Linked DNA regions of Macaca mulatta. The protein of the gene in region 1 purifies or fractionates together with the protein of each later gene. This does not show direct contact. Links are inferred from orthologs where the notes say so. Each region holds a gene or a part of one and is shown in the gene's direction. Other genes may lie near its edges.

Evidence for each region. Proteins that work in one complex are often made in the same cells at the same time.
Region 2: the proteins of CDH1 (region 1) and CTNNA1 purify together in Homo sapiens (affinity purification with western blotting; 10 studies listed by BioGRID and IntAct, with this or other methods). This does not show direct contact. The link is inferred for Macaca mulatta from reciprocal best matches to the Homo sapiens genes CDH1 and CTNNA1.
Region 3: the proteins of CDH1 (region 1) and SKP2 purify together in Homo sapiens (affinity purification with western blotting; 3 studies listed by BioGRID and IntAct, with this or other methods). This does not show direct contact. The link is inferred for Macaca mulatta from reciprocal best matches to the Homo sapiens genes CDH1 and SKP2.
Region 4: the proteins of CDH1 (region 1) and SRC purify together in Homo sapiens (affinity purification with western blotting; 5 studies listed by BioGRID and IntAct, with this or other methods). This does not show direct contact. The link is inferred for Macaca mulatta from reciprocal best matches to the Homo sapiens genes CDH1 and SRC.
Region 5: the proteins of CDH1 (region 1) and PLEKHA7 purify together in Homo sapiens (co-immunoprecipitation; 3 studies listed by BioGRID and IntAct, with this or other methods). This does not show direct contact. The link is inferred for Macaca mulatta from reciprocal best matches to the Homo sapiens genes CDH1 and PLEKHA7.

The regions. Positions count from the first base shown.
Region 1 is NC_133425.1:64,333,664-64,338,468, forward strand, and holds part of CDH1 (cadherin-1), read left to right. Parts: 5' UTR 1-199; coding exon 200-247; intron 248-1,091; coding exon 1,092-1,206; intron 1,207-4,805.
Region 2 is NC_133411.1:147,787,657-147,792,461, forward strand, and holds part of CTNNA1 (catenin alpha-1), read left to right. Parts: intron 1-3,393; coding exon 3,394-3,594; intron 3,595-4,157; coding exon 4,158-4,309; intron 4,310-4,805. UniProt on the Homo sapiens protein: Associates with the cytoplasmic domain of a variety of cadherins. The association of catenins to cadherins produces a complex which is linked to the actin filament network, and which seems to be of primary importance for cadherins cell-adhesion properties.
Region 3 is NC_133411.1:37,236,916-37,241,720, forward strand, and holds part of SKP2 (S-phase kinase-associated protein 2), read left to right. Parts: intron 1-2,543; coding exon 2,544-2,655; intron 2,656-4,805. UniProt on the Homo sapiens protein: Substrate recognition component of a SCF (SKP1-CUL1-F-box protein) E3 ubiquitin-protein ligase complex which mediates the ubiquitination and subsequent proteasomal degradation of target proteins involved in cell cycle progression, signal transduction and transcription.
Region 4 is NC_133415.1:90,252,021-90,256,825, forward strand, and holds part of SRC (proto-oncogene tyrosine-protein kinase Src), read left to right. Parts: coding exon 1-79; intron 80-1,984; coding exon 1,985-2,134; intron 2,135-3,509; coding exon 3,510-3,665; intron 3,666-4,805. UniProt on the Homo sapiens protein: Non-receptor protein tyrosine kinase which is activated following engagement of many different classes of cellular receptors including immune response receptors, integrins and other adhesion receptors, receptor protein tyrosine kinases, G protein-coupled receptors as well as cytokine receptors.
Region 5 is NC_133419.1:48,436,429-48,441,233, forward strand, and holds part of PLEKHA7 (pleckstrin homology domain-containing family A member 7), read left to right. Parts: intron 1-849; coding exon 850-960; intron 961-4,805. UniProt on the Homo sapiens protein: Required for zonula adherens biogenesis and maintenance. Acts via its interaction with CAMSAP3, which anchors microtubules at their minus-ends to zonula adherens, leading to the recruitment of KIFC3 kinesin to the junctional site.

The DNA.
Region 1 (4,805 bases):
AACCCTCAGCCAATCAGCGGTACGGGGGGCGGTCCCTCCGAGGCACACCTGGCGGCAGCAGCGCACCCCAGTCTCAGTGGCGTCGGAACTGCAAAGCACCTGTGAGCTCGCGGAAGTCAGTTCGGACTCCAGCCCGATCCAGCCCGGCCCGATCCGACCGCACCCGGCCCCTGCCCTCGCTCGGCGTCCCCGGCCAGCCATGGGCCCTTGGAGCCGCAGCCTGTCGGCGCTGCTGCTGCTGCTGCAGGTACTTCGGGTCCCCTGCCTTGCGAGGGACGCGTCCGGGCCGCACACTCTGCGCCCCAGCCCCCCGCCCCAGCCCTGCGCCCCTTCCTCTCCCGTAGTCACCGCTTCCCTTCTTCCAAGAAAGTTCGGGTCCCGAGGAGCCGAGCGGCCTGGAAGCCTCGCGCGCTCCGGACCCCGCAGTGATGGGAGTGGGGCGTGGGTGGTGAGGGGCGAGCGCGGCTTTGCTGCCCCTCCAGCGCAGACCGAGGCGGGGGCGTCTGGCTTCCGAGTCCGCGGGGTGGGCTTGGGCTGGCGCGGGGGTCGTGGAGCGGGGTGTGGGGGGTGGGGTGTGGAGAAGGGGAGCCCCGGTGCAAGTCGAGGGGGAGCCAGGAGTCGTGGGCACGATCCTCGAGGGAAGGAGAGGGGCATCCGTAGAAATAAAGGCACCTGCCATGCCAAGAAAGGTCGTAAATAGAAGTGGGAGTCCCGGGGATAAGAAAGTGGGGTCGAGGGAGGTGGGAGCGCCCCTCGCTCTAAGGAGTGGTGCATTCCCGGTCTAAGGAAAGTGGGGTTGGGGAGAATAAAGACATCTCCAATAAAATGAGAAAGGAGACCGAAAAGAACGATGGGCTAGGTCTCGAGGGGGTGACTCGGCGGCCCCCTTCCGGGAGTTCCTGGGGGCTTGGCGGCCGTAGGTTTCGGGGTGGGGGAGGGTGACGTCGCTGCCCGCCCTGCCCGAGGTTGGGGGCGGGGGTCCTCCCCCAATCCCGACGCCGGGAGCGAGGGAGGGGCGGCGTTGTTGGTTTCGGTGAGCTGGAGGGAACCCTCCGAGTCACCCGGTTCCATCTACCTTTTCCCCACCCCAGGTCTCGTCTTGGCTCTGCCAGGAGCCGGAGCCCTGCCACCCCGGCTTTGACGCCGAGAGCTACACGTTCACGGTGCCCCGGCGGCACCTGGAGAGAGGACGCGTCCTGGGCAGAGGTGAGGGCGCGCCGCCGGTGTCCCTGGGCGGAGTAGGGTGGGGTTGGAAAGGGGCCGAGAAATTGCACTCCCACACCCCTGGGTTGGAATGGGCAAGCTCTCTCCTTGGCTCAAACGACACCCCTTGGAATTTACACAGATTTGGGGATCCAAACGTTTACGACTGAGCACTGGTGGAGGGGGTAGCCCTGCCTGGTTGTTAACCATGTTATAAAAAAGCAGAGGTTGAGGGCACTTACTAGAAGCCTTCGTATTTCTCTTATTGCCCTCAGCACTGTAGAGACAGTGTCCCATTTCAGACTGCAAAAACCTGGTGGGTGGGAAGGCTCCGGCAGGAATATTCCCGTTTTACAGATGAGCAAACCGAGGCTGAGAGGGTGACGTCTACTTGCCCAGGGTCAGCAGAGCAGGTATCTGAACTGGGACCTGACTCCCAAGCCCCATTAAGCACCATCTCTGGGATGACTGAAGAGCAGCTCTCTCTTGGTTACTGGGCTGTGGCTTTTGTTTATAGATATTAAAGCTTTTTTTTTTTTTTTTTTTTTTTAAAAAAAAGGGTCTTGCTCTGTTTCCCAAGCTGGAGTGCAGTGGCACAATCACAGCTTACTGCAGCCTCCATCCTCTGGGCTCAAGTGATCCTTCCCACCTCAGTCTCCCTAGTAGCTGGTTATCACAGGCATGTGCCACCATACCTGGATAATTTTAACTTTTTTTTTTTTTGAAACGGAGTCTCGCTCTGTCGCCCAGGCTGGAGTGCAGTGGCCGGATCTCAGCTCACTGCAAACTCCGCCTCCCGGGTTTACGCCATTTTCCTGCCTCAGCCTCCCGAGTAGTTGGAACTACAGGCGCCCGCCACCTCGCCCGGCTAGTTTTTTGTAGTTTTTAGTAGAGACGGGGTTTCACCGTGTTAGCCAGGATGGTCTCGATCTCCTGACCTCGTGATCCGCACGTCTCGGCCTCCCAAAGTGCTGGGATTACAGGCTTGAGCCACTGCGCCCGGCCAATTTTAACATTTTTTTAAGGCTGGGCGCAGTGGCTCACACCTGTAATCCCAGCACTTTGGGAGGCCGAGGCGGGTGGATCACAAGGTTAGGAGTTCGAGACCAACCTGGCCAACATGATGAAACCCTGTCTCTACTAAAAAAAATACAAAAATTAGCTGGGCATGGTGGCGTGCACCTGTAATCCTAGCTACTCAGGAGGAGGCAGGAGAATTGCTTGAACCCAGGAGGTGGAGGTTGCAGTGAGCTGAGATAGTGCCACCGCACTCGAGCCTGGGTGACAGAGCAAGACTCTGTTCCAAAAAATAAACTAAAATAAATTTTTTTTAGAAACAGGAGTCTCTCCATGTTGCCCAGGCTGGTGTCGAACTCTTGGGCTCAAAGGATCCTTCTGTCTCAGCCTCCCAAAGTGCTGGGATTGCAGGCCTGAGACACTGTGCCTGAACCAAAATACCTTGTTACAGGTACTGTTTCCCCCAAGAAATAATGATTTTTTTTTTTTTGAGACAGAGTTTTAATCTTGTTGCCTAGGCTGGAGTGTTGTAATGGTGTGATCTCAGCTCACTGCCACCTCTGGCTCGCAGGGTCAAATGATTCTCCTGCCTCAGCCTCCTGAGTAGCTGGGATTACAGGTGCCCACCACCATGCCCAGCTAATTTTTTGTATTTTTAGTAGAGAAGGAGTTTCACCATGTTGGCCAGGCTGGTCTTGAACTCCTGACCTCAGGAGACCACCTGACTCAATTTCCCAAAGTGCTGGGATTACAGGCATAAGCCACCATGCCTGGCCAGGAATAATTATCTTTTTTTTAAAAAAAAGCATGGTAGTTCTGACTCAGGATGAAAATGCATACACCCAATGTACTTCTAGGCTTATCTTTGTGATAATCTAGAGTTTGCTTTGTTCCACTCCACTGTTGTCCAGGGAGCAAGGGAAGGGGCTAGTTTCTCTTCTGAATTCACTGAATCCCGAGTGCTTACTTTATATCAAACCACTTTCTCCTCTCTCATGATTTTAGTTGATTGGATATCACAATAAAAGGCATATTTTTTTTTAAGGAGAAATCACCCACAATTCCCCTGAGGGAACACCTCCATTGTGTCTATTCTTCTGGTCTTTGACCACATGAATCTTTAGCAATCATGCTGTTGTCTTTAAATTTTTTTTTGAACTTGGAAGTCATTCGAAGTTTTTTACAGAGAAACTACAGCTCGACTGATGAAGTATATTTGCTCTGTGTGCTCTAGAGCTTTCTATTGGATCAGAAGTTATCTAAAACTCCTGGGCTCAAGTGAGTCACCCACCTTGGCTTCCCAGAGTGCTGGGGATTGAATATTTTGATGTCAGTAGGCATTGAGGAGCGTTTTCTTGGGGGAGGCAAGCTTGATCTAGCCTTGGAGAGCAAGGCAGGGGCTAGAAACGAGCTTGTATCTGAGCGTGTGTCTGGCGTGGCCCAGTGCTAAGGCTGGTGATTTTGTTTTCCTGCACCAAGATACTTGGTAGCACCAAGGGTAGGTTGGTCTGGTTTTTATTTCTCCCTTCTAAGCTCCTGTGTCTGACCAATAATGTTATTACATATTAACACTAATATGATAATAATTAATAGTGACACATACTCACTTTTGCCTCAGACTCTGGGGCAAGTGCTTCACATATCTTACCTCATTTAGTCTTCACTAGAACATTAGGAGCGTGGGCAGTATTATTCTTCCTACTTTGTAAGTAAGGAAACTGAGGCATAAAGCAATTCTGTAATCTGATCCACAGTTGGTCTTTTCTCTTCCTTTTTCCCCTTGTTTTTCACCTCAATAACCTGAAAAAACAAAAACAAAAAAGGTGTTTGGGGAATTAGTGTCCAGCGTGAAGTAAGCTGAGAATGGAGGTGTTGATAGTGTGGGACCTCCGAGAGGGGGTGATGATGATGGAGACGGGTCAGACGCGGGGGAGGTGGGGGGGACCCTGGGGCTGCTGGTTTAGTGGGAAGAGGCAGCCTCCACACAGAATCCACAGGCCTCTGGTGTGGTTGGTTTCAGTTCCCTTTATGTTCACAGACCTCCACCCCCACATAACAGTTTTCCTGACATTTAATATTTGTTTTGGCTTTTTTGGACTGTGGGTCTCCTTGTATCAGTCCAATGTGGAATCGCCCCAGGATGGAAGTGCCCTTGTGGTAAAATCACACGTTCGATCTCAGGAGCTGGCTTGTGATTTTAAAAGCCAGATAAGACTTGGGATGTGGCCTGACTCTCTTTGGACAGTGCAGGGAAGTGAAGGGATGGATGTAACATAGGCACCAGATTTAGACATTGACTTTGTGAAGAATTTACTCCATGGGAATTTTGAAACTTGAAACCTGTCACTTTTTGTGCACTGGTAGCTGTAGGGTCTTAACTCAGGGGACTTTGGAGTGGTTTGCTAGGGTCATTCCTCTGCCCCATGCCATGGCTGACCCCATGATCTCAACCTTGTATTTATTCTATTGATTTCTCTCCAGCTTCTAGAATGAAGACCGTTAAAAAAAAAAAAAAAAAAAAAACTGAACCATAATAAACCAGTTTTTTTTTTTTTAAATTTTTGAGATGGAGTTTTGCTCTTGCT
Region 2 (4,805 bases), on another chromosome or scaffold:
CCAAATGCTGCCTTGTAAATATTGGAGATGGTTTAAAATGGTAGCATTCAGCAAACCAAGAATATATTTATATTGACCAATCCCTTAAGGAGAGTGGTTTGAAATTCATCAAAGTGATAGAGACTCTTTGAATTTCACTTGGATTGTATTTGATAAACATTTTCCATGGAAATGTTATTGATTTCCATTCTCTCACTCTGCTTACATGTTGCAGTTTTGGCTCCCTTTTTTTGAAGATGCAAGTGATTGTTTAGAGAAGCTGTAATTGGGTTTATTAAATTTTTTACTAAATGCTCTTAGAAACAATATAATGCATTAAATGCTTTGGAGCAACACTTGGAGTGGTAATTTGCACTCTCCTTCATTAAGTGTCAGTGTGTCCAAAATATTTGGTCTGATTGGGAGGTCATTAAATAGAAAGATTACTGTACCTAAATGTTGGTTTTGTGTTTAATAGCAGAAATGCTAAACTATAGACAGAGTTTCTGTCTTTGGAGGAAGTGGTGAAGTTAGATTAGTGGTGATTTTTTTTTTTTTGAGACGGAGTCTCACTCTGTTGCCAGGCTGGACTGCAGTGGCGTGATCTTGGCTCACTGCAGTCTCCACCTCCCGGGTTCAAGCGATTCTCCTGCCTCAGCCTCCTGAGTAGCTGGGATTACAGGCACCTGCCACCACACCCACCTAATTTCTGTATTTTCAGTAGAGATGGGGTTTTACCATGTTGGCCAGAATGGTCCCGATCTCCTGACCTTGTGATCTGTCCGTCTCAGCCTCCCAAAGTGCTGGGATTACAGGCATGAGCCACCATGTAATCAGAAATCACCTGGCCGGTGATTTTTTTTTTTCCTTTTTAAGCCTACTACATAGAGTTTACATGGCAAGCCCTCAGAATAGTTCATGTCACAGGGTAAATCCTCTACATAAAGTATGAAACATCGTTTTCATTTTCTTTGTGTGCAGCAGCCCTGCATACGCTGCTTGCTATAAAGATACCCAGGGCAGAGGGTACAAAGAAGAGGCTCTATCGCTACACATTGTAGACTGAAGTTCTGACATCTCTTATGGAGAATGCCAATCGGCATCGTTCCTGGAGGGCAATTAGGTACCATACTTCTACTTTAAACATATATACCTTTTAACTCAGCGATCTCATTGCTAGACATTTTCTCTAGGGGAGTGTCGCAAATGTTTGCCAAAATACCTGTAGAGGGATGTTTTCTTCAACCAGAATGTCTAAGGGAAGATTGAATAAGTGAATTATAGCCCCTCCATCTCTTCAGTAGGGTACTATGCAGCCATTAAAATGGATGAGGTAGATCTGTAGGGCCATACCTAGAAAGGTTTTCAAGTGAAAAAGATACAATAGTGTCCATAATATAATTCCTTTTATATTCATTTACATATAGTTGTCCATATTTTATATGGACTGGTGTGTGTGTGTGTATGATTTTTTTCTATTAGAAGCACACCTATAAATCATGTGTTGGACAGCTGTTCATGGGTACAGATTTGTGTATCTACTCATAGTGGACCTATGCTGTTTCCTTAGCTAAAATGATTTATGGTTTCAGTTAGTGTGGGCACAGCCTGTCCCCCTCCGTTAAACAGTGGACTCGCACCTCCCCGCATCAGGTTCAGTTGTGGAGAGGAGGCTGGGTGCTCTGTCCTGGGCGGCAGCCTCAGCGAGGCTGGGGCTTTCCTAGAGACAAGTGTTTCATGAGGGTAGAGAATATTACTTTGTTCAGCTTCCTGAAGTGGGGAATGTTACTCTAAAAAATGGCGTACCCTTTCCTGGTTTAGGTTCATCTAGAAGAAGGCCAGGATGAATTCAAGAAAGTCTAGATGGATTTAAAAAAAAAAAAAAAATAGATGTATCTAGACAAAGGTTAAAAAATCCTTGGTAGAAGTTTGGGTCACTTTGTTTAATGAACGGGAAGGAATGCCATACTTCATTGATTCTGAAACAGGGATGAGTCTTAAAATCAATGATATGAGAAAATATTGGTTCTTAGTTTTGTTATCAACACACTTTCCATTTTATTCCTTTCTTTTCCTTAGCAATGCAAGTTTCATCTTAATGGTATCGTGTTAGATCCAGTAAAAGCAACAATTTTTAACCCAAGACCTTGTATGGTTGGCCTGCTCAGTACATTTTTTAGTTTGAATTATTAGAGTTTATATACTTCAGAAATGCTTGTGATGGGCTCCAAATCCGTTTATTCTTGTAATTGGTTTAAATGTCCCTCTTAAAATGTGTTTATGTTAGAAGTTTAATATGTTTACTCTTTCATTAGTTCATTGGTATAAACCCTGGCAAGTCTCATAATCTGTAATTAATAGAGATCAAAATATGGTCTTAACTATATTGCAGTAATCTAGTTTTCCCTTCTCTAATAAGAATTCTTACTATTTCCTGGCCTTCTCTGGAAAGGTATTTTTTGTTTGTTTTGGTTTTTGTTTTTGAGACGGAGTCTCACTCTGTTGCCCAGGCTGGAGTGCAGCGGCGTAATCTCGGCTTACTGCAACCTCTGCCTCCTGGGTTCAAGCCATCCTCCTGCCTCAGCCTCCAGATATGCACTTTAATGGCTGCATAGTTCCCATAATTCACTTATCCACTCTTCTCTTGGTTTGCTTCCACGTTGTTATTATAGATGAGTTTGAGCAAACTCTTTGTGGTGGGGTTCCTAAAAATGTATAGTGTCAGGCTTTTTCCTTTGAGGAAAAATAGTTGTGGTGTTTTGCCCAAATTCAGCTGTGTGACTGTTAGGAGCCACCCATCAGCTTCATAGGAGTCAGGGGTTTTCACCTCTAGGGACCCTTCAAATATCACAATAAGCCCATCTGTGTACCATGAAGAGGGTTATTAAATAGTTCATCTCATGCCTCAGGCTCCTCTAGAGAAGGCTTCAACCTGCTTTCCAGCACCTTCTCCTATCCCTGGGCTGTACTGGCTTCTTGGTAGATTGTCTGAATATCATCAGCATCTCCTGGAGGGAGAGGGAGAGCGGACAGTGGACTTTTGTTCTAATTTAGCCTTTCCTTTATTTGGGACACAGGGTCAGTGAAGCTAGAGGAAGAGAAGTTATTGATGCTTCTGTGATTTTCTGCCAGGCTTACAGAACAACTGTGTCTCAAAGATGGGCATGTCTCCTGTTTTTTGTTTTATTTTGTTTTATTTTTAAAGCCTGGAATGAAGATTGTTATTCTTGAGGGTGATAACAGGTTTAGTTTCTGTCTCTGTCACTAGTCACTGGTCTCTCCAATGAAATATATGTAAAGCTTTCAGCACTGTGGCTGGCACCAAGCAAACAATAAATGATAGATGCCAGCTTACAGTTGCCACCTTCTCATAGAAGGCCTCCTTCCTCATTCAGCTTTTTGCTTGTTCTCCAGAGAATCACATTTTGGAAGATGTGAACAAATGTGTCATTGCTCTCCAGGAGAAGGATGTGGATGGCCTGGACCGCACAGCTGGTGCAATTCGAGGCCGGGCAGCCCGGGTCATTCACGTAGTCACCTCAGAGATGGACAACTATGAGCCTGGAGTCTACACAGAGAAGGTTCTGGAAGCCACTAAGCTTCTCTCCAACACAGGTACGGGAACTCTAGCTTTTCAGTGCTCGCACACACTGCAACCTGAGTAGGGCAGGCCACCCGATTAGCCCAGCCCTGTGGTGAGGAAGGAGGAGTCGGGAACTCAGATTTGGTCTCATGGCACATTGGGCTCCTGAGAAGTTGGTCATAGCCAAATTCAGGCCTCACAAGCATATTTTCTTCATGTGTATCTCATGAGTAATCATGGGACTAATTCTAAACACACTATTTAAGATGAATTTCTGAGTTTAACCTCAGGTTAAACTATTAACCTGAGGTCCTATTCTTAAGCAAGGCTTCAAGTTAGTCTCACTTCCAAGTTCTCAACCATCCAATCCCTCAACCATCCAATCCCTCTGTTGCAGAGAAAAAGATGATTTGAGTTGTTGAGTTGTTGTAAAATACTGCATTTATTTCAACCATAAATACTCCTCACATAGATAGAAGCAGAGGCTCTTCATCATAAGCCTCACCTCTTTCTGTCTAGCTGAGTGATTCAGGGAGGGTCAGGGGAATGATGCTGCCTGCATACCAGGACATCTGCTGTGCCCCTTTCTCCACAGTCATGCCACGTTTTACTGAGCAAGTAGAGGCGGCCGTGGAAGCCCTCAGCTCGGACCCTGCCCAGCCAATGGATGAGAATGAGTTTATCGATGCCTCCCGCCTGGTATATGATGGTATCCGGGACATCAGGAAAGCAGTGCTGATGATAAGGGTGAGTAACTGCATTTCAGACTTAACAGCTTCTTTCTTATCATTTGCTAAACTTGAGCAATGCGTCATTCTAGAACTCGGCAGATGCGGTAGCAGTATATTAAAACCATGAATCTAAAATCTGTTAGAATGAGATATATTTAATTATGTTGTCTAAAATGACTGTTAGTTGCAAGTTAGAGCCCAAACTTGGGCCAAGAAGAGGAGCTAGCCTGAGTTGACGATTTAATTTAGGATAAACAGTCTCTACAACATGAGGCTTCAGTTTGAGTTAGGCAGGAAATTATAGAAAATAATGGTTCTCAAGCTAGTATCAGAGAAGGAAGTCTTTTCGTAATGCAGATTCAAGTTACTGTTCACATGGAGTGCCCCTCTCTTCGGAGAGGCTGCAGGCAGACAGGATGATGGAACCCCAGGGTGTTGCGGGGAGAAGTGGCCCCAGGTGATGCTCCTAGGCTCATGGCCAAGTGCTGAACCCCTTTCCCCATAGCCAGAAT
Region 3 (4,805 bases), on another chromosome or scaffold:
TACTGAAGTTTCCTGTTTGTTTCTCTGTATCTCTCAACCTCTGAGCAGAATAAGGGTCAGGATTGTGCCTTATTTGTCATTGTATCCTTAAAACCTAGAATAGACCTCAGTGTATAGTACAGATTTTATAAATATGGGAGTGGATGAATGTATCAACTTTATGCTAGTTCCTGAAAATACAAAAATTGTTAAAAAAAAAAAAAAGGGGGGGGGTTCTCAAGAGCTTCTGGGAGTCCAGAGAGATGAGTAAGTAAATAATGAAATTATGGTACATAAGTGGCCTGTCCTTGTTGATGTCATGGGAGGCTTTCTGTAGGAACTGGGGCTTCCATTTGATTTTAAATGAATAGTAGTTGGAGGCAAGCAAGCATGTGCAGAGGCATTGAGATACGACACTGAATGACTCATTGTAAGAATTACAGGTAGCTCCAAATGGCTGGAACACATTTCTAGATAACGAACCTAGAAAAACTAGTTGGGACCTGGCTAAAAGCCTTTAACTTTGTATTAAGCATTGTGGACTTTAGCCTAAATACCTGGAGTGTACCACTGAAGAATTCCAACTGAGAGAAAGACATGATGGTTTAAAAAGACTGCCCGGGGCAGCAGGTGTTTGTCACACTCCTCGGTGCTTTTCTCCCTCATATCCTCAAACCCCTTACACAGGGCCTGGTACAAAGGACATGCTCAGTAAAGACTGGCACCTTTAAATGCTAGTGGGAGGAGAGAATATCACCACAGTTGTTGTAGAAGATCCATCAGAGGTGGAAAGCCGAGGAAGGCAGTCATTGAACTCATCTGACCATTTTTTAGGATTTCTTCATCGTGCATTTATTTCCTTCTTGGCAATTGTTATATTATCCTGACCTTGTGGGATTGTTCTGTGTATTCATATGTAAGAGTTTCATACTTGTTGAATATTTAGAGATTGCTTCTATGAAAGAAAACTGCTTTTCCTGCATCCACCTTTCTCCTGTTCTAGACACAGCAGCCAGAGTGATCCTTTTTGAACTTACCTGAGAGCCTGTCACTCCTGTGCTCAGAATCTTCTAGTGGCACTTCATCGAATTCAGTGTCAAAGGCAAAGGCCTTTATCATGACATAGGAAGCCTGCATGACCTGGCTGCTCTCTGATTTCTACCCACCCACCTTGCTCACTCTACTGCTCTACACTGGCCTCCTGGCTATGCCTCAAAACACACATGCTGTTCCTTGCATCCAGAACACATCCCAGATACTCACAGGGCTCACTCCCTCACTTTGTTGAAGGCTTTGCTTAGTGATCATCATCTCAGTACGGCCTTCTCTGACCACCGTGTTCAAACTTAATAACATCTGCCCTGAACTCTCTGTTCTCTTCCTTGCCCTGTTTAATTTTTCTGCACAGCACAGATCAATTTTACTATATCATATAATGTAATTATTTTTTGATGTGTGATTGTCTGTTCCCCATTACTGGAATGAAGTCCCATGAAGATAGTGTTTTGGGTCTGATTTACTACTCCTTCCCAACACCTAAAATGATACCTGGCACCATAGTAGGAGCTCAGTAAATATTTGTTGAATTAAGAAATGACAGCACCCTTTTGTATTGCTCTTTTAGGTAAACTGCTTTTTGTAAACCTGAAAGAAAGTATAGTCTGTTCTCATGCTGCTAATAAAGACATACCCAAGACTGGGTAATTCATAAAAGAAAGAAGTTTAATTGACTCACAGTTCAGCCTGGTTGAGGAGGCCTCAGGAAACTTACAAGCATGGCGGAAGGGGAAGCAAACATGTCCTTCTGCACATGGCAGCATCAGGAAGTGCAGAGTGAAGGGGTTGGGAAAGCCCCTTATAAAACCATAAGATCTTGTGAGAACTCACTTATCACCAGAACAGCATCAAATTACAGGGGCGGTTATCACCGGGTAATCGTCCCCATAATTTGATTACCTCCCACTGGGTCCCTCCCGCAACACATGGAGATTATGGGAACTACAATTCAAGATGAGATTTGGGTGGGGACACAGCCAAACCATATCAGAAAGGGAAGAAGATTTATTTGCCTTTTAAATAAGGTCACCACTGAATCCACATCAGAGAGAAACAAGGCCTTCCTTTGCACCCAGAAGCACCACAATATCTTATTGATGTCAATGAATTGACAACATCATTGAATGACATTTGAGAGGGTGGGACTTGCTCTGCACCACTGTTCATGCCCCAGCCTCTGATTGGCTGGCTAGAGCTGAAGAGAAGAAGAATAGGAAAAGTGTTGTTGGTTTTCTCTTTTTCATTTGCTGAGAGAGTGTGGTGGTCACTTCAGGGTACATAGACGATGGAATGGGGAATTTAGCACGAATGAAATTACTCATCACCACGATTATTTTTCTGTTCAACAAAGTTTTCAGACAAAAATAATTGTGAGGATGAGTAATTTCATTTGTGCTAAATTCCCCATTTAAGCTAAATGTTGTATATTTTTTATGTGATTGGAAAGACTCAGTAGACTTGGTAGGGTAAAAGAATGGTGATGGCAAACACTTGTTTTCCCTCCAAAGGTGTTTCATGGGACTCCCTTCCGGATGAGCTGCTCTTGGGGATCTTTTCCTGTCTGTGCCTCCCTGAGCTACTAAAGGTCTCTGGTGTTTGTAAGAGGTGGTATCGCCTAGCGTAAGTATTTTTCACCCCTTTGGCATACGTAGGGGAGGAAGAGGAGAGGAAAGTTATTTATTTGTTTTGGTCTCATGAAACTAAAACCCAAGAAAAATAGAGCAGCACAAAGCAAACTAGGTATCTTCATATTTTTATTAATAAGTGTCCTCATTTCACAGTGGAAGAGGAATTTCCTGGAAGGGGTAAACTTACCAATGTCTGGAAACCTCTTTGCCCTGTATTCAGTGCAGCATGTGTTTATTGGATGCTGACTGTAGGCCAGGCGGTGTGCTTTAAGTGCAGAGGGAGTTACAGAGGTGCATGCAGACAGCGATTCCTCACGCTGTTGGGCTGAGCAGTAAGCACAATGGGGAGAGGGAACGCAGACTTGGTGTTAGACCCGAGTGCACACCCAGCCTCTGCTGCTTACGCTCTGCATGACCTGAGCGAGTTACTTGACAATGCTGAGCTTCAGTCTGCCCATATGTAAATGGGGATAATGGTTATGAGGAGGAAACCATTGGTTATGAGGATGAAATGTGAAGATGCCGGTGTAATGCCTGACTCACAGACATGTTCCGCACAGAGTAGCCATTGGTGGGGTTGTGCCTTTTTTTGTGGCAACACTTTTGAAGTGTGGAAGGTGAGTTGCATGTGGAAAGACTTGGTGAGCTGGAAAGGCAATACAGGCCTGGAGCAAGAAAAAGGCTATGTTTATGAACTGGAACTTTTTACTATCGTCATGCCTTCTCATCCCTATCCTACCCCCTGGTCATTCTTTGCTTTGTGTTTAAAGGCCATCCGTCTGGCTTCTCCCTCCACATACTTAGAACTCCCTGTGTGAGATAGCAGGAGGCTCTTGCCATCAAGGGTGTGCTGGTATTTACAGGTGTGGGTTGTTTGCTTAGAAGAGCCGCAGAGAGGTTTGCACACCTGGAATGCTGGTGCAAGTGGCAGGCAAGTTTCATGTACCCTCACCGTGCTCAAGGAACCCCACTTTGGTTTTCTTTTTCTGCCAGCTATGCATTTGTCCTCTTCTTGCAGAGTCTGTTAATCCCATTTAAAAATTTTATTGTATATATTTAAGGTATACAGCATATTTTGTTATATGTATGTGAAATGGCTACTATAATCAAGTACATTAACATATTCATTATCTCACATAGTTACCCCTTTTTTTTGTGGCAAAAGCACCTAAAATTTACTCTTATAGCAAAAATTCTGACTACAATACAGTATTATCAACTCTAGTCTTCCTGTTGTACACTATATCTTGGGTTGTGTTCATCCTGCATATCTGTGGCTTAGTATTCTTTGATCTACATCTCCCCTAGAGTCTGTTAAACTTTTCATCTCAGTTGTCATAAAAATAATAACTGACATTTATTAAGCACTTGCTATGTGACAGTGCAGTGTTTGCAGTTTAATCCTCTATATGATTTTAAGTGATGGTGTTTGTGTCATCTCAGCTTCAGAGATGAAGAAACTGCAGGGTCAGGAATAGTAGGTTGAGAGATAAGTGGAAAGGCAGGAAACTAAAGTCTGGCTAACTCCACAGTCATTACCATCATACCATATCTGGTTATGCTTGGCTTGGGGTTTAGGTAGCTCCCGAATTCATTTTTTCTGTGAGATGTTCATCTTCCTAAAAAATGTATATGATTTGTAAAGAAAACGAATTGTTCCAAAACTTTTCCCAGATTGTTATTGAATGCTGGTTAAGCTATGGTTTGCCTTCTTGCAAGAGGAAACATCAAGCATGAGATTCAAGACAACCAGAGCAGTGCTGATCTCGTGTTAATACCTTGGAGGCCAAAATGGATTTCTGTCTGGTCAAGAAGATACAAAAGTGTGCCACTCTCTTAAGGATATCTTATCTACAGTCCACCTTTTTATTGATAGAGGTCAAATCACACACTGACAATTTTTTTATGATGAAATTATTTCATAACTCTGGCCAGTGGTCCACTTATTTCAAGCACTATTAGAAAATTCTAGTACACCTAAGCATTTAAAATGTTCCTTCATGTGCTTGTCATTTTATTTTTTTAAATTGAATTCAACTATGGGTATTAAAACCCTCTTATTGTGGTATTCAGTACCTTTTTTGAACGTCCCTTTTGTTTTAGAAACACCATCTATAATCTAAGTTATATTTTTCCCTTATT
Region 4 (4,805 bases), on another chromosome or scaffold:
CGGGAGTCAGAGCGGTTACTGCTCAATGCGGAGAACCCGAGAGGGACCTTCCTCGTGCGAGAAAGTGAGACCACAAAAGGTACGAGCACTCTCGTTGGCCAATGGATACTGAGTCTTCTGTGAGTGGTTTGAGCTGAGTGTTGAGGAATGAGCAGGAGTTTGGTTTGTGGAGTAGGGAGGGAAGAGCCTTCCAGGTGGAGGTAACGGCAGGATCAAAGTCAGGGAGGTGCATTTGAGGAACGCTGAGTAACCTGCGGTGGCCAGATGTCCAGAGAAAGATGAGGCTTAGCCTCTCTGGCCTCAGTTTTCTCAAATGAAAGATGGGCATAGGTTGTCTGGAGGTTTTTCTGAGTGTCACACAGTAACAGGCTTGTTCCCAGGGTAGGTGCTGCTACAAAGAGCCCTGCTTCTTCCCCTTCCCCAGGGGTCCCTGGGCTGCACTGGATTCTGGAGGCTGGCTTTGCCCTCCCCCAACCGCAGTCCTGATCCCTGCCCCTCTCATGTCCCTCCCCTGAGCCAGAGAATGAAGACCATCCCCTTTCTCTCCAGCCCCTCTGAGAGTGGGTTGCAGGCGCCCATCACCATGGCAACCAAGCTGGGCTGCTTCCTGTGGGCCTGGGGCTCAGCGGGAGATGGGGAGCAGAGCATCCATGTCGAGCCGTGCATTTACGTACAGTTGTGCGGCCGTGTGCGGGTGTGCATGCTGTGTGTACGTCTGGGCGTGTGTGTGTGTGTGCATGTGGGGTGGAATTGTCTGTGTGTCGCTGTGTGGGAATGGACTGTTGTGGTTTGTCTGGTGCCCGAGGGCCTGGGGAGCGTGTACCTGTATGAGCATGTGGCCACTGGGCACGGGCATGCCTGTATGTGTATGCACATATGGCCAGGGTTGGCTTCAGTCTCAGGCCTGTGGCTTCCACATGCACCAGCCAGGCCGTCCGTAGAAAATCACGGTCGCCCAAGGCAGGTTTTGAGTCCTCGGGTGTGGGTTTGAGCCCCAGCCCTGTCTCTGGCTTGCCGGGTGACCCCAGGCTGGCCACTCACCTCTCTGGACCTCATTTCTTCTGTACGCTGGGATCATAACCTCCTCCTGAAGATTGCAAAGGGGAGGTCTGTGGGCTAGGAGGGCTGGGCTTCCCCCATGCCTATGCACTGCCTGGCCAGGCTCCTGGGAAGGTGGTTCCTGGCCGCTGGAGCCTCTGCCCTTGCCTCCAGGGCTCAGCCTTGTTCCCTGATGCCATTTGGGCGTCTCTTGGCCTCTGGTGCTACCTGGGCCTGCTGGATGGGAGGAAACTTTTCTGGCCAAAAGCTTTTCTAGGCTCAAGAGAAAGAGGGGAGGCACCAGGGCTGGCCCTGCTTGACCCAGGCAGCCTTCAGGCCACACCCAGCCAGTGGTCTCCTGCCCACGACAGCCAGCCTCTGCCAACCACCCCCTCCCGCCTGACCCTGGGCCTGTCTTCAGAAAGGAGGTGGGGGGGGGACACGGACAGTGCCCCCGTGAGCCGATCCAGAGAGGGAAAGCAGTTAGGCCAGGGCCACACAGCAACAGGGAGCCACTCACAGGCTCCCAGCAAACAGTTATTGAGTGCCTACTGTGTGCCTGGCCCTTTTATATGTGGTGGCATGGAATCTCCCCAGCAGCCCTGGGAGCACCCGCATTGTGCAGAGGAGGAAACTGAGGCCCAGAGAGAGCCAGCAACCCCTCCAAGTTCCATAGCTAGGATGCCCACCTGAGATATGGGGGTCTTGCTGGGGCCAAGGGTGCGTGGCAGGACGTTCCAATCAAGTGTCTCTTGGGTCCCTTGGCCCTACCTCTGTGGCTGCCCCGGGGCTGGCTGTTGAGAGACAGGGTGGGCCGGGGGCCCCGCCTGGGCCTCCCTTCCCTCCAATGTCAGGCAGGCACAGAACGGTGTCCAGAGCAGCGCTGAGTGCTGCGGCCTGCGGGAGAGAGGGCGTGGCGGTCACGGCTCCCCTCTGTGCCCCGCAGGTGCCTACTGCCTCTCAGTGTCCGACTTCGACAACGCCAAGGGCCTCAACGTGAAGCACTACAAGATCCGCAAGCTGGACAGCGGCGGCTTCTACATCACCTCCCGCACCCAGTTCAACAGCCTGCAGCAGCTGGTGGCCTACTACTCCAGTGAGCCAGCCTCGGAGGGCGGGGGGGGCAGAGCCTCAGCTGCAGACCCTGGGGAGGGGCTTTGGAGCCTAGAAGGGTGGGGTCTTCTGTTATCCTGTGATGCCAGGTTTCCTGCTCCCCTCCCCACTTTCTCCCTCCCCCTTCCCTTCCTCTCTCCTCCGTTTTCCCTACTTTCCTCCGTCTCCTTCTTCTTCCTCTTCTTTCCCCCGACCCGCTCCTCCCAGTCCCCGTCTCTCCCTGCTCCTGCTCTGCAGCTGGCTGGTATGGAGGGGGCTGCCCTGAGGAGCCCAAGAGTGAGCTGGAAGGGAGGGGACGGAGGCTGGTGTCGTTTGTCTATGTAGCCCTAGGACCGGTCTGAACCGGTTGCTGGGAGAGGAGGAGGGGGCGGCCAGATCGATTGCAGCAGAGACGGAGAGAGCGGCAGAGGGAGCTCGCGGGGCTTGCGTGCTGGGTGAGGGCTCGGGCGTGGGCGCAGTGCTGTAGCCCACCCACCTGGGCGTCTGGAGCTGACTGCAGTGTCGGGGCCTGTGGGTGCCTATGGGTGCCTGTGTGCCCATGTGTCTGTGGCACGCGTGGCCTCTGTGTGCAGGTGTTCGTCCACTTCCCACCCCAAGTCTCCTCCTCCTCTCAGCTCGGCCTCCTGACTTCCTCTGGGATCACCCACCATGCTCTTGTCTCTTTGGCCACCGCTGTGTGGCTCATGCTGAACCCCGTTCCCTCAGATCAGAACTCTCCAGGGGCTGTCTTGGAATCTTGGGATAAAGACCCCCACCAGCCCCCGAGTGGTCTAATCCCAGCTGCCTCCCCACCTCCGCCTGGTGCCGCCCTTCCCCACCTGCTCCCTGCAGCTCCTTTTGCCTCTGCTTCTTCAGCCCTGCAGCTATTCTTTCCTCAGAGCCTTTGCTCTGGCTGTGCCCCTGCCTGGAGGGCTCTTCCCTGCTTAACCCCTCACCCTCCTGCACATCCAAGCTCAGTTGCTGCTTCCTCCAGGAAGCCTCCCAGGACCCTCCTGCTGTTGCGCGAACAGCTCTCCTCCAGTCACATTCATGTCTGTGGTCCTGGGAGGTGATTAGGGAATTGAGGCTCCTCCCTGGACTCCGAGTTCCTGAGGGTAGATTCCCTGGACTTGTTCCCCGCAGGGTCCCTGGCACCCCCTACTGTCTGCTGAATGACTGACTCAGCAGATGCATAAAGCATTGTGGGCCTGTGTGGGGGTGGGACTGTGTGCACATAGATGTAGATGCCTGGCTTTGAGGGTGCCCTGGGTGTCTCCTGAAATCTGCGTGCATCTGGCATGTAGGGTGACACACACTGAGGGGCAGGGAGGCCCCAGGGCAGAAGCCCCCCCTAACTGCTCCTCTTGCCTCCTCCTCAGAACACGCCGATGGCCTGTGCCACCGCCTCACCACTGTGTGCCCCACATCCAAGCCTCAGACTCAGGGCCTCGCCAAGGATGCCTGGGAGATCCCTCGGGAGTCGCTGCGGCTGGAGGTCAAGCTGGGCCAGGGCTGCTTTGGCGAGGTGTGGATGGGTAAGGCCTGGCCCCTGCCCTCGGGAGAGGCATCCATCCCCCACCCCGTGTGGCAGCTCTGGGCTCTGTTGGTCCCTTTGCCTTTAGCTGCCTCTGCTGGACGACGGGGCCCTGTTGTAAATCTGGAGCCCCCCAGCGGTGGCTGGCACCGAGTTGGGATGTGGCCCCCCAAGTGCTGTGCCCCAGACCGTGTAAACCATAGCACCTGATTCCAAGATCCGCACAGGGCTGGGCATTGCACAGACCTGCTGTGTAGGCTGGGCCCGGTGGCCTCACTCGGAGTCTCAGTCTTCCTGACTATGAATGGGGCTGGTGACAGTGGGACCTATGGGAGGCTGTGGAGGCCCTGGCCCAGTGCATTGTCCACACACCAGCTGTTAGCCATGGAGAGAGAAGCCTGGCTCGTGGGAGGAGGTGCTGGGAAGCTTAGTTCTGGCATGGTCTGAGCCTGTTAGTGATTTCCTGTCTAACCCTGGAGAAACAGCAAAGCATAAGAACCGTGCAGCCCTGACAAAACCCAGGCCCCTTGTCCACCGGTTGCTTTCTGCTCACACAGAGGGACCAGAGGCCAGGGTGGAGGTGGGACAGCACTTGTAAGCCCGTAAGCCCATGGTGCTAGCGGGGATCACGGTGTGCTGTTTTCAAGGTGGTTTCATCTGAGCCGCATCTCCGCTCAGTCCCACTGCCTCCACTCTCCACCCTCCAGAGTCCTGATGGAGGACAGCAGAGAGGCCTCCTGGGTGGAAGGCACTGCAGGGACAGAGGCCTGGAGGCTGGAGGTCAGGCCGTCTGGAAGGGGGAGGCGTGGGCTTTGAGCTGGTGAGAGGGGAGAGGGGTGAGAAGCCAGGGTGTGAGCACAGCCACAAAGTGAGGACTTGAGCGAAACCTGGGTGAATGCACAGCGTCAGCCATTCTGGTGGCTGCAAAACTCATTTCTGGCTTCGGTGAGTGGTGATGACCCTGGGAAGGGCCTCACTTCCTCCCTGGGTGCTCCAGGTCGACTCATGAAGTGCCACATGCAGATGGCTTGAGCCAGGAGGACCACAGAGGTGGGCCTGAGCCCTAACCCTCGGAGAGAGGCCCAGTGACTGGGAGGAATGGGCCCAAGGTCACACAGCAAAGGAACCTTGAGTCCTGCTG
Region 5 (4,805 bases), on another chromosome or scaffold:
TTTTCTTACTTTATTCTAAGTCCAGTGAAACGTCATTGGAGGGTTTTGAGCAGGGAAGTGGCATGATTCGGTTTGTGTTTTTAGAACGATCACTGTGAGGAGATTGGATTGTAGGTGGCCACTGCAGGGGGAGGCAGGAGAGCAGCTGAGGCTGTTGCCCTTGTCCATGCAGGAGTTAGCAGTGGCTTGCCTGAGGGTGGTAGCACAGTAGTGGTCACATTCAGGCTATGTTTAGGAAGTAGGCTCTTCATGCCTTCATGATGGACTGAATAAAGTCTGTGAGAGAAAGAGAAGAGGCAAAGATGACTCCTCAGGGCTCGAGCACCTGAGTGGATAGCATTCATATTGTTGAGATGGGAAGAGCCGGTTTGGGGTGGAGGAGAATCATGAGATCTTGTTTTGCCATCTTACATTTGAGATATGAGTATGTCAGAGAGTGTGATCTGAAGCTTGGTGGGGAGAGAGGATGGAAGAGACCCACTGGGCATAATATATGTTATTCGAGACCATGGGATTAGATGAAATCCCCTCGGAAGAGAGTACAGACAGAAGACCGATGTTCTGAGCCTTTGGGTGGTCAAAGCAGTGTTTAGAGGGGAGAGAGGTGAAGCCAGCAAGGAGACTGAAAAGGACTGAGAAGGTGGGAGAAACCCCAGGAGAATGCAGGGTCACAGAAGTCTTAAAGGACAAAAGCTGACTGGAGTAGGTGGAAGATAAAATACGGGGTGAAGACAGGGAGTCAGTTAGGCAAATCTTCCAGGTAGTTTTGTTGCAAAGTGGCGTTGAGACATTAGCTGGTAACTGGAGAGGATGTGGGTTTGAGGGAGGGTTTTCCTTTCTTTTTTTTAGTGGAAGATTGTACAGCATGTTTTGTTTTGATGGGAATGATCCCATGGAGAGGGAGAAGTCGATGCTGCAGGAAAGAGAGTGGGCAGTTGCTGGAGCAGTGTTTTTAAGAAGGTAAGAGGGATGGGATCCATGGCTCGCATCTCACTGGCCTCACCCAGGGGCAGGGCCCATCATTCATTTGACAGGAGGAAGGGCTGCAAGTGTTCCAAAGTACCAGGTACAACCTTGGACTGGGTGTGTGAGGCCATGTGTGGGACTGTGGAGGCTGGAGCACAGCCTTCCACACCTTTGCTGACTCTTCCATGGTAACTTGTCTGTGAGGTCCCTAATGATTTTCCTACAGTGAGCTCCCATGCCCCCAGGGCCTTGGATCTTCCAGGCCTAGGGAAAGCAATGTGTGACAGTGTTCCCTACCCTCAAAGGCAGGGCCCTGTGGCAGATGATTGTACTTTGGACCTCCTTCTGTAACAATTTTTTGAGAGACTTAAGGGTTTTGGGAGTAATTGTTCTCTCCCTCATCCCCCGCCCCCCACATAAAAAAATGTTTTCCTGACAAATGTTTGTCTGATTTCTTAGCTTTGCCGTGAGCATTTCTGAATGTTTGATTTTTGTGTTGAGGGCAGGAGCCTCCTGTAACTGGCTCATAGAGTGAGAGGGACAAAGCATTGACACAGCTGATTTTATTTTTCCTAATGGATCCTTGCACAGGAAAGTTGTGTGAGTTTTTACAGGATGTATTCAGTTGTTCCTCATATTTAGCAGATTAAAAAATTTTAATTTTTGAAAAAATTGTAAGAAACAGAATCTTCCTCTGTCTCCTAGTCTGGAATACAGTGGTGCAGTCATAGCTCACTGCAGCCTTGAACTCCTGGGGCCAAGTGATCCTCTCACTTCAGCCTCCCAAGTAGCTGGAACTACAGATGCAGGCCACCATGACTGGCCAGCAAATGTTTTAATACTCTCCAGAGTCCATTTCTTTTCTTTCTTTCTGTCTTTTTTTTTTTTTTTTTTTTTTTTAAAGACAGCATTGCTCTGTCACCCAGGCTGTAGTGCAGTGGCATGATCTCAGCTCACTGCAACCTCTGCCTCTTGGGTTCAAGTGAGTCTCATGCCTCGGCCACCCCCAAAGTAGCTGGGACTACAGGTGTGCACCACCATGACTGGCTAATTTTTGCATTTTTAGTAGAGACGGGGTTTCACCATGTTGGCCAGGCTAGTCTCAAACTCCTGACCTCAAGTGATCCGCCTGCCTCAGCCTCCCAAAGTGCTGGGATTATAGGCATGAGTCACTGCACCTAGCCTCAGAATCCCTTTCTTGAAGCAGAAAAGCTTGAGCTTAGGCAGGTGAATTTTAGTTTTGATTTCTGTACTTTTTGTTCAGTTTTGCATTAATGAGGGACAAAATATATAAGAAATCTACTGCTGATTCTCCCAGTTCTAGACTAAAGGATGTTGATAGCCCCTTTAAAAAGATTTTTTTGGCTGGGTATAGTGGCTCATGCCTGCAGTTCCAGCACTTTGGGAGGCAGAGGCAAGGGGATCACTTGAGGCCAGGAGTTTAGGATCAGCCTGGGCAACACAGAGAGACCTCATCTGTACAAAAAATGAAAAAATTAACGGTGGTATGCTCGTGTAATCCTAGCAACTTGAGAGGCTTAAGTGTGAGGATTGCTTGAGCCCAGAAGTCTGAGGTTACCATGAGCTATGATTGTGATACTGTACTCCAGCCTGGATGACAGAGTGAGACCCTGTCTCTAAATAAATAAGTAAATAAATGACTTTTTGTACTCCAGCACTTCTCTACTATGAATCCCTCAGCTGGGTAGCAAGGTATAATAGTAATTTTGATAATAGTGTCATTAACAGAAGTAGCAATAATAGTAGTGATAATTATGTAACAGCCTAATCTTTTTGAGTCTTTGAAAAATGGTAGGAACTGTTCTGTAACTATCATTGATTTAATTCTCACAATAGTTTGATGAGGTAGCAACTATTACTAGTTCCGTTTTACAGACATAGAATCTTGCAGTAATCCTGGACATTCCTAGAGCAGATGGTTTTTTCCTTGTGTCTTTTCTTATTTGATCTTTGTAACAGCCCCTGGAGGCAGGAGGGGAGGAATCATCCCCATTCTTCAGATGATGAAACTCAGGTCCATGAAGGTTCAGTGATTTTGCTGAAGTGTTTGAGCTGAGACTAGAATATAAGTCTTCAGTCCCTCGTGTGATAGCCACAGTAGTAGTGGTGGCTCCCACCCCAGGCCATGCATCTTGAAGGAGATGGATGCCCATATGCCATTGCTCTGAGTTAGGCTTCCCCAAGGCTCATGGGGCCAGACCCCATCTTTGCTTTTTCTGGGGACTGAGGTACTTTGGAAGGGCAGTATCCCTTGCTCTCCTATGCTGATTAGTGGTGGTACATGTCTCTGATTAGTAAGAAATTGAAGACATTGATTATTAGTAAATACAATTTGGCAGACACAGCTTTTTAAAACATGGGACCTATGAGGGAGAAGTTTCTAGAAGAGAACATGGGAGTTAGAGTATTACACTGGGCTGCTCTTCAGTGGTTTCATGGAACCTTGTGAACTGTGTTCCCCCTACAGCAGATGTTCAGTAGGTCGTGAGGCAATGAGGAGATGTCAGAGAAGAGGGGCTCAGCCACCTTGCCTGTGCCAAGGCTGTTCCTTGAAGGCAGGCATCTTATTCCCCACTTCTGAGACTTAGGCACCCAGCGCAGGGCTGGGAGCTGAGTAGGCACTTGATATATCTTGAGCAAGCAGTGTTTTAAAGAGACCCAATGAGTTTTCTAGGTATTACAGGTCTTGGAAAACTCCTTACTGGGAAGGAGATTGGGGTGGAGGAGAATGAGTAAGGTGAAAGAAGCTCAACAGCCACAAACAGGCCTGTCAAGGCTGGTGCCTAGACCCAGGCTTCTTGGATACAGTCAGTTGCTGTTGAGAACAATGCTCAAAGCTGGCCAGTGGAGGCTCAGTGGCCTCCTTTGCGTCTTCATCTCATATCCTTATTGCTCTGCATCTGGGACTGGGACCTATTGGCTACTGGACTAGGCTATCTTCCTTCTCTGGCTGCTGGGCCCTTGGCATCCTCTGTGACTTGGCACAAGGGTACTGGCAGGAACCAGCTAATTGCTGCACAAGACCCTTTCTAGCTTCAAGTTTCTCAGTTTTAGCTTTGGGGTTGTGTGGAGCCACCTTGTGTAGGTACTGTCTCTTTGTGGGTACCTGTCCCTAAGTGAGGACAGCTAGACTCTGGGAAAGTCACTTTTGAGGCTTGCAGTAAGGCTAACTTTCCCCTCCCCTAGGACCTGAAGCACGTCCTAGCGACAGGACTGGCTACATAATTTGCAGAGCCTAAGTGTAAAATGAAAATGCAAGGCTCCTTATTCAAAAAGAAGGAAAAAGTATTAGCTTGGTGCAAATGTAATTGTGGTTAGTGCCATTACTTTTGATGGTAAAAACTGCAATTACTTTTGCACCAACTGAATATCTTTAGGCCGGGTGTGGTGGTTCACACCGGTAATCCCAGCACTTTGGCCAAAGTAGGAGGATTGCTTGAGCTCAGGAGTTTGAGACTAGCCTGGGCAACATGGTAAAACCCCATCTTTACAAAAAATACAAAACTTAGCCGGTGTGATGGCGCATGGCTATAGTCCCAGCTACTAGGGAGGCTGAGGTGGGAGGATCACTTGAGCCTGGGAAGCGGAGGTTGCCGTGAACTGAGCTCATGCCACTGCACTCCAGCCTGGGTGACAGAATGAGACTCTGTCTCAAAAAAATAAAAAATAAAAAATAAATCATCTTTAAAGATACTAAAATATAAAATTTTGTTATTCTGTAGTTTTTCCCTTGACGTCATTTTTTTAAAAAATTGCTATTTATGGGCATGGTGGTGGGCACCTGTAATCCCAGCTACTTGGGAGGCTGAGCCAGGAGG